Regions from separate parts of the Mus musculus genome. Here region 2 is reported to be linked to region 1. Evidence: microRNA targets listed by miRTarBase, many of them from high-throughput screens and not tested one by one. Region 1 holds a microRNA gene; the other region holds the end of a gene's coding sequence.

The links. Region 1 holds the annotated microRNA mmu-miR-3103-3p (UAACCUCUGAUCCUUCCCACAG, at 1,531-1,552, shown strand). A microRNA usually pairs through its seed, bases 2 to 8, with sites in the 3' UTR of a target mRNA and lowers its output. Matches are read on the target gene's strand: a 7mer-m8 pairs with bases 2 to 8, a 7mer-A1 pairs with bases 2 to 7 and ends in A, and an 8mer does both.
Region 2: miRTarBase lists Pm20d2 as a target of mmu-miR-3103-3p. Seed matches in the 3' UTR shown: 8mer at 1,735-1,742.

Annotation. Positions count from the first base shown.
Region 1 is chr7:128,285,537-128,289,921 of GRCm38, reverse strand. Mir3103 (microRNA 3103) reads left to right here and starts at 1,487; the gene lies at 1,487-1,553. It overlaps Rusf1 (RUS family member 1), which reads left to right. Exons shown (of 13, transcript NM_145590.2): 4 at 1,431-1,463; 5 at 1,553-1,658.
Region 2 is chr4:33,171,025-33,175,409 of GRCm38, forward strand. Pm20d2 (peptidase M20 domain containing 2) reads right to left here. Exons shown (of 7, transcript NM_001034867.2): 6 at 3,720-3,827; 7 at 1-3,456. The coding sequence ends at 3,302. Among named protein-coding and RNA genes, the nearest start is that of Pm20d2, 17 kb to the right of the region's middle.

The sequences.
Region 1 (4,385 bases):
ACGCCTGGATATGGGGGGGGGGCAGCATTTCCCTTGGTCTTCTTCCCACCTACCTATTGTTCTGTGAGCCAAGACCTGAAGTTATACCAAATTGGGTATTAAGCAGTTCCAAGTGTATGGACTTTGACTTAGTTACCTTTGAAAGAAGCAAAGCAAAAAGGAGAATGGTCCACGAATAGCCTCTTCAAAGGTTGCCCAGAGAGTGGGAGAACTGTCAATAAACAGAATTTTTCCTCAGAGCCAGTACGGGCGAGATACCCAGCACTCACTGAAGACCTTCCCAGCTAAGGATCATATTTCAGGGGACTGGGAATATTGGAACAAAACACTGGTCAGAGAGGCAGATAGAAAATCACCTTTCAGGAGAGCTTCATCATGAGAGCGCTTCCCACCTTGCAGTAGGAGACCACTTAGGAAACATATAACATCCTGCCAAGGACAGCATGGTGGGGCTCCAACTGAAGGGAGCAGGCCTTCCCTTCAAAACCCAGAGAGGAGTGAGGTGAGGAGAGGTGGCAGCCATGTGCAGTGTAATAAAGGGGTGCGGGGGGCAGGGGGCGCCAAAGGGGAAAGCCTCAAGTCTGCCAAGCAGCAATCTGACCTTCATTGATTTTTCAGAGGCGTGGTAGAAGATCTACACCATGTGACTTAGTTTGGCCCAGTCTTTTGCTAAGGGAAATGGAGCTAGCACTAGATCGGACTGTGAACTTATCTTGCAGCTGAGTTGAGAAGGGCTACAAGGCCTTTCTTCCCTGCTGTTATCAGAGAGCTGCAGGAGGGTGTCGCCCAGTTTCTGGGGAGGGGAAAAGCAGCTAAAGAATTCCTGATCTCACAGTGACAGGAAAGTGATAGTAAGGAGCCGTTTCTCCTGGACCTCCAAGACCAAAGCACAAAGAAGATTGATTCGTCCCAGAGGGACAAAGGGCAGGGAGTGAGAGACAAAGACAGGAGGGAGAGGACTAGGGAGAAAGGGCATCTGTCCCGGAGTGAGTACAAAGGACTGCCTCTGGACAGAGGAGACAGATGTGGCCCATGGGAAAACAGCAGCTTATAAAGGTACAAAGGGAACCCCGTGTCAGGATGAGGGGTTTAATCTTCACTGGGCATCTTAACTAGGGGACAAAGGGGGTTTTTGATTGCTGGACTTCAATACTGTCTAGCTGGTTCTTGGTAGTCAGCCTCAGGAGGAGGAGGTGCCCAAATAAGGGAATAGACCCTGGTAGCTACCTTTAGGAATGTAACCTAACAATTTTTAGCAAGGCAGAGGGAGTACGGCCTGCCAGAGCTGTGTGGGCACGCTGGAGCTGCCCAGAGCCCCTTCAGTATATTTCCACCCTGAATCCTGTAGACCTGACCGTGACCTGACAACTCCTTACAGCCCACAGCAGTTTTCCTGTGTTCTAAATTGCAACAACCTCTTATCCCAACAGGAGCAAACTGGACTGCAATGCCAAGCAGTGGAGGTGAGAAGAGAGGAGGTATGGGGAGGAGGGAGGATCTGCTGTTAGAAAGTCTCTGGTTTGTGACCTCTAACCTCTGATCCTTCCCACAGGCTCTTTGCCGACATCCTCAACGATGTAGCCATGTTCCTAGAGATTATGGCTCCCATGTACCCAATCTTTTTCACCATGACTGTCAGTACCAGCAACCTAGCCAAGGTAGCCACCTCTGGGACACTTCTGTACCTGAGATACCAATACCATCCTTACCGACGCTGTGTGTGGCTTACCCGGTCCCTGTACTGAAGGAAGTTCGAAAAGGACAAAGTTCATATGTTTCTACTGAGACACAGACAAGTTTTCTGATCCTCTGACCAGACAGCCCTTGTACCTCAGCCAGCCTGTGCAGGGCCATGTTGGAGCACATGCTGGTGAGGGTGCTCTGAGCTGAGAGTGAAGGGTGGTCCAACACCAGAATCTAGGGGCTTGTCATTCTTCAGTAAAGCATCTGTATAGTGCCTACTGCATGGATGACCCAGGCCACAGACTCTCCCATGTTTAACGGAAATGGCACATAATTACACAGATATCTATGGGGTTACAGTTCTGAGCATACCAGGTGAGGAATGGTCTTGGGATGTAGAAAGGCCCTACATGAGGCTGAGTCCTGAAGAAGAGGAGTTTATGTATGATTCCAGGACCAAGAAATCACACACACACACACACACACACACACACACACACACACACACACACACGTACGCACACACATGAGAGAGAGAGAGAGAGCAAGCGAGCAATGGCACAAATCGCCACTGAAGCTGGTGGGGTTCACTTGCCCTCACAGCACCTTCAGATGAGGAAACAGGCCCAGCAGGGTCAGAAAACCCATCACTACAGTCAGGTATGTAGAGCTGTAAAGCCCTAAGACTCAGTACCGGACGCATTACACTGCAGCCAAGCCGCCAAGCCACAGGCACTTTTGGTATTTGGGGTAAAGCAGTCTTTTTGTTTAGGACAGGCAGTAAATGCTGCACACACCTTAACTTCTGCCCCTGATTTTATCATCAAGTTAGGAAACCCCAGAGAAGATACTGCTGGAGCTGGGGACCAGCTGGGGATTGTGACTTCTGGCATATCTTTCAGACTCGGCAGCAAGCTCTGCTTCTGAGACCCGTGTCTGTCAAATACTGTCCCAGAGCAAGGTTCTGTCTTTCCCCTTAAGATCCGGCTTGGCAGAGTTTCAGTCTGTGACCAGCACTCCCTCCACAGCTACAGCAGCCAGAAGCTGGCTGTCACCCTTACCTCCTCACCTCAGTTGTCGCTTTCTGCTCAGATCTTCCAGTTTTCCTCCAGCTTCCCACCGTTCATCCCCCTCTCTCACTGGCAGCCCCTCTGCTGGACAAGTTCCTTCCCAGGGAGTCTGTAGCCCTTTTCACAGCCCAACGCTCTCTTGAAAGTCAGTTGTAAAGGGAACTTTGATTCTCCTGTAGTAACTGTCATGTCCCAGGCTCACGGCGTCTGTCTTCCAACCTAGACCTAGTCCTGAAAGCTCCCAGCTTCCATACAGTCTTGTCTAGGCCTAGGTGTTCAGCCTCTGAGACTTGCTGCTAAAAATGCTCACCTTTTCTTGTTCTTTCTGAGCTCTGACCGGCTGGTTCAACTCAGCTGTTCTGGCTCAAACTCCTCTCCAAGCTCACTGATTCAGTCTGGCTGTTCTCTTAGCCTCTGGCTTGCTCTGCTTGGCCTCAAAGTAACTCTAGCAATCTTTTCTATTCTTCTGGCTCCTTCTTTTAACCCGTGACTGCAGAGCTGCCCAGGTCAGACTGCATCCTCTGTCTGCAGTGCTCCCGTGAGCAGCTTCCCTCTCCTCTCTCTTCTCAGGAGAGTTGGGCAGGTCCCATTCTGTCATATCTTTCCTTGATCTGTCACTTTGTCTGCCACTCAATTAGACATCACTTTCAAACATGGCTGCTTCCTTCTACAAGCTAACTCTATCTTCATTGTCTGGGATTGAAGGCGTGCACCACCACACCTGTACCTAAGCTTTTCTTTGCCTGATACATATGTATGTGCTCTATAGCAGGCTGGCCTTGAACTCAGAAATGTGCTTACCTCTGTACCTTGGGATTAAAGGCGTATCTGTATTCCATCTGGATCACACAGACCTAGAACATCTTTGGATGTGATCTCTGGCCAGAGCAACCTTGTTCTGAATTAAAATTTCTCTAGGGTCAGTGGGCCAGCAAGGTGCAGTAGCCAAACCTGCCAACCTGAGTTCAGTTTCTGGGCTCAACGTGGCAGGAGAGCAGGGGCTCCTGCAGATTCTCCTCTGACATCCATGCATGCGTCAGCACGTGTGTACATGTGCGCACACACACAATAGTAAACGTAGGAATCAAATTAGGTTACTTGCCTGAGCCACTGCTCTCTGGAAACCTTAAAGGCTTCCAGTTTTCTATTTGGAACCAGACTGTTCCCTGCCAGTCACTTGAGCCTCATCTTACACCACTTTTCTCTTGATTTTGAATAAATTAGTTCCTCCACCTTTATAGCTATACTTAAGCTTCATCAAAAACCCGTCTGTCATCATTCTGTGTCTGTCATCTACAAGAGACTCGATGGTCAAAGTTATCAGTGGCTCTAGTTGCTTTCTAGAGATCTCAGGAGAGATGTAAGTTCGTTAATCCAGGGCCACTGGAGTAAGTGTAGATCTGCCTGGAGCGCTCAGTGGAGCTAGGCTGGGACAGGAAGAAGAAAGGACTTATAAGGAGGCAGACTGTAAGCGTGAAGTCAAAGACCAGACTGGACCTTATCGATCAGTCAGAGAGAGAGAGCCAAAGCAAGCCAAGGAGATGAGAGATGTGGCTTTAAAACGACCCCAGCAGGGCACAGCCCTGTGATTCTAGTATCATGGGGTCTGAGTTAGGACTATTACAAGTTCTA
Region 2 (4,385 bases), not on the chromosome of region 1:
TCTTCTCCAGTGGTTGCAAACATTTACTCACCCAAACGCTGAGACGGCACAGTTTACAAACAGCAACAGCAATGCAACTGTAGCACTTGACACCCTTCTTTCTGTTTGCACCTTCATAAACACATGCAGTGTCTACTTTACCCTAAGTACCCCAACGTTTATGTCATAGAGAGACGTGGTTGAAAAGAAAAACTTCCTGTGCAGTTCATCCAATAAGGAGAATTTGTTAAGACTAAATATCAGCTCAAAAAATTTGAGGCAAGCTAAATATTAGCTACAGTCACAGAATACACAGCAACTTACTAGTTCGCAGTCCAGGTTGACTGACCAAAATGCTCCAGAAATCCAACTGTGAGTGGCACGACCTAGGTGAGAACTGCACAACTGGCCTCCTGTGCACACAGGTCAGTTAACTCTCAGACACACTAAAACACTGAGCACACCGTCCTTCAAGCTGTGTGCATAGGGCAGGCCCATGTGATACACAAAGGGATTTTTATAGCTCTAGCTGGGTTCCATCTCTATCTTCCCCCTCCCTGTTTGTATATACATATATATGTATAAAATATAGATTACATAATATATATGCAAATATTTCAAAACATTTTTTTAATCTAAAATCTGAAACACCGCTGGTCTCAGGCATTTAGGAAAAAGGAAACATAACTTTAACACCTGTACTGCACAGGTCCCATATTCAAGCTTCCTTAGAATTAAGCTGGTAAAGGAAAATAAATTTCAGATTGTAATTACATTTAAGCTGCTAAGTGTAGCTTACTCATTCTAGAATGCATTGACGTAACACCTCTCCCAGGTGACAGGAAAAGGCATTTGTAAGGACATGGTGTAAGTGGTTCAAAATGGTAAACCATTGGACAATAAGACAGCAAATTGTAAAATCACAGCAGCAACCTCCAACAAGAAACACACCCTTCCTTACCTACCTAAACCCGACATTGTTTATACATCAGTCAAATTTAATTTTACTTAAAAAAAAAAAAAGGAAAAGGAAACCAGACACGGAATACACATGATTCTCAGAGGTTGGGCTGCATAAATAACAACAGCTGTTCTAGGATGGTGTCAAGATTATAGCAAATGCAACCAATGCCCTGCCCTGGAGCTGGGGATGCAGCTCTGTGCTAGAGCCCTGGTCTCAATATCAAGCCCTGCAAAAACCAAAACTAAATCAATCAACAAAAAAACCTATCCCTCAAGATGTGAGGAACTAATAAAACAGCCTTTTAGGAGACCAAGTCCATCAATAAAAAAAAACCACATCTCTGGCATGTCTTATTTTTTGATTCAAGTTTTCATTGATACTCCCTCTTTATACAAAATTTGTATTTAATATGATAAACTCGGGTGTGAGTATCCAGACACAAGGTGTCATGGAGGACTGAGTTCTCAATGTTACGCAAAGACAGAACGGGTGGTGTGCAGAGGCAAGGCTGAGGACTTGTGGGGCAGGGTGAGGGGAGCTGAAACAGGCTTCTGTCTAGAAGGACAAAGTAGAGGGTGGAACAGTCCTGATCACTCTGTCAGGCAGCCCCTATCTACACTAAAGTGCTTCCAATGCAGGACTTGAAGCTTTCCCCAGAAAATTCAAGAGAACAGAAATCAGAAACTGCCCGATTGACTGGCTCTGAGAGGTTTCTTTTTCCTGACAGGTCAGACAGTAAATACTTTATGCTTTGTGGTAATGGTGGTTTTTTGTTTTTGGGGTTTTTTTTTTAACCTCTAAAATGCAAAACAATTCTTAGTATACTAGCTGCACAAAGGCAAGTAATCAAGCAAACACCAGCCTATGTCAAGCCAGAGAACAGCAGAGAGCAGTTCTCAGATGTTAGCCCTCCAATACAACCCCGCTCCCTGTTCTAAAGTACACATCAAACAGGAAATCAGAGGCTAGAAGGGTCAAAGATGGCTAACCTTCTAAGTGGCAGCTGGTGTCACTGAGGGAAAGTGACTTGCTTCCACCACAGAAGCAAATGCACTTCCCTGTGCCCTTCCACTTCTGACTCTGAACCGCCTCCTCAAATGCCCACGAGTTGGTTTTACCGGCTTCTTCACACTTTAATCATGTGCAAGTTCACACTAGATGGCAGGTGTGCTGTGCTCGAGCCTATAATCACAGCATCTGAGAGGCAGCAGCAGAGGGAAGAGAGTGGGGAGGAGGCGGGCAGAAGGGAAAACCTGTCTCAAACTCAGCCCCACCAAAACCAAAGAAACTTGTGCTACAGTGAGGACCATGAAGAACTGCTGATTTTATGTGACTCGCTCCTTTCCAGGGCATTACTGACAGTGATTTTACTGACAACCACTGAAATGTTTCAGATTTCCAGCTCGAATCCTGGCTTCCTTGTAAAAACAACTCCCTCCTGTGGCTCTACAAATGCTGTGGTGACACAAACCAGGGAGCGAGCAGACAAGGCACAAAAGAAAGTCCAGAGAAACTGCAGGAAGCTTAACTAAGTCTCATTAGGAGCTACGGAGCCTCCTTTCCAAGGCCATGGGTTCACATTACTACTGGGCCAGCACAGGGCTTTGGGGCTCTTCTGAGGCTGCTAGGGACTGGGGACCGTGTGGGACACTGGAGAACAGAGCACACCTAGTCTGTACTCCGGCCAACTCCTGTAACACAACACACAACACCCTACCCTGCTAGAAAGGCTCAACTGTGCCTTTCTGCCATTTTTCCTGTTACTACCCACTGTTCCTATGCCACTTCTTGGAGTAATTACATGTAAGTAAAGATCTCTCTCTCTCTCTCTCTCTCTCTCCCTCTCCCTCTTCCACCATTCCCTCCACTCCTCCTCGCCCCTTCTCTAAGTGTTAAAAGTAGAGCTAATTCTTTGTACTGGGGATTCTAGGAGTGTCCCACAAGCATATGTTTATTTCAAGTTTTTCTTTAGACCCAAACAGATACAGTTAGACTTAAAACAAGTCTCCCCCTCGATTTAAACTGCCGAGAAGACATTCCCTACTCTGAACCACAGAGTTCATGAGTGTCACCTTCTGAAACCCGTGGGACTTGTAACACCATACAGCAGATACACTTACAAAACATTACCGAATGTTACAGGATCAGGTATCATCTGGCGTAATAGATGGCGTTACGCACCAACGCCTGCAGTATCACAAACTCCACTAAATCTAGACGTGCATTCGTGTCTTCTTCCCTATATCTGTCCTCACTTACCAGGACTGAAAAACAAGCATGCTCTCTTTCACTGAAAAACATGAGAGGTAAAAAACAAACAAAACGTAACATTTCCTGACCAGTCCCTAGGGTTTCCTTCTATGCTGCTGTATTTAAAAGCTGCTCTTCTTGAAGTTTACATTTAAACTCCTTCCTGACTCCTTCGAGCAATGCAGGCTTAAAGATGACGTCCAGTGCGGTCATTGCCAGAGCCTTGGCTGTACGCAGCGTGTACAGCTGAGCCGCTTGTGATCCTGGGAGGTGAAGAAAACACATTGAAAACCTCTCTCTAGATCACAGTACATTTATTAGTTCCTCTGGTTACCTCTCAGTATCTAAACTGCCTCTCCACCCTCTGAGCACAACACCGTGTTTTCTGAAGTGATTATATGGGAGAACAGGCTAAAGAGCAGCACTGAGCAGGAAGAGGAGGCGAACCCGGGTACTCACAGCTGGCAGAGAATTCCGGGTACTCACAGCTGGCAGAGAACCCCGGGTACTCACAGCTGGCGCTCACCTGCAGCTTCTGTGTACTGCTCCGTGTGATTCAAGGCATCAGTCCCAATGTAAAAATACGGGTGAATCCCAGGAACCACGAAACTGACATTTCCAAAATCAGTAGAGCCTTGAAACACAAAAGGGAAGAAAGGGGTGCTTGGTTAAGTACCCTGACTGGTGAAGTTGTAACTAGGATCCTGTGCTCAGTCATGGTTCCTGAGCAAGCTTCCAGGAGAGACACTTACTCCCACCTCTGCATTGGCTGAGCTGCTCTAACAGGGATCTCCAGACCTGTCCCTGCCCAGCCCTAAAGCCAGCCCCTCTAGCACCCCACTGGGAACCCTGATGGCTCCTCCTCTGACCCAGGGCTACAGACCCCCTCTCCCGACTGGTTCCTTGAGACTTGATGCCAGTCCTTTCCTCTTTTCATGCCATATTCTCAGATGTTTCTCTATTTATTGTTTCAAATTAGCAACTCAAAGTGCATTCTTAGTTCTTCTCCAACCCTTTTGCTTATAATCCTATTGCCCTCCTGATAGTTCTCCCGCGATGTCTTACACGTAGACTCAACCTGGCTAGAATCAGATTCGTTATCATCTGTTCTGCTACATGCCAACTATTCACACCACCTCCCATATAGCTCAGAATCATACTTTCCTCCGCTCACCTCTCTAACCTGCTCTCA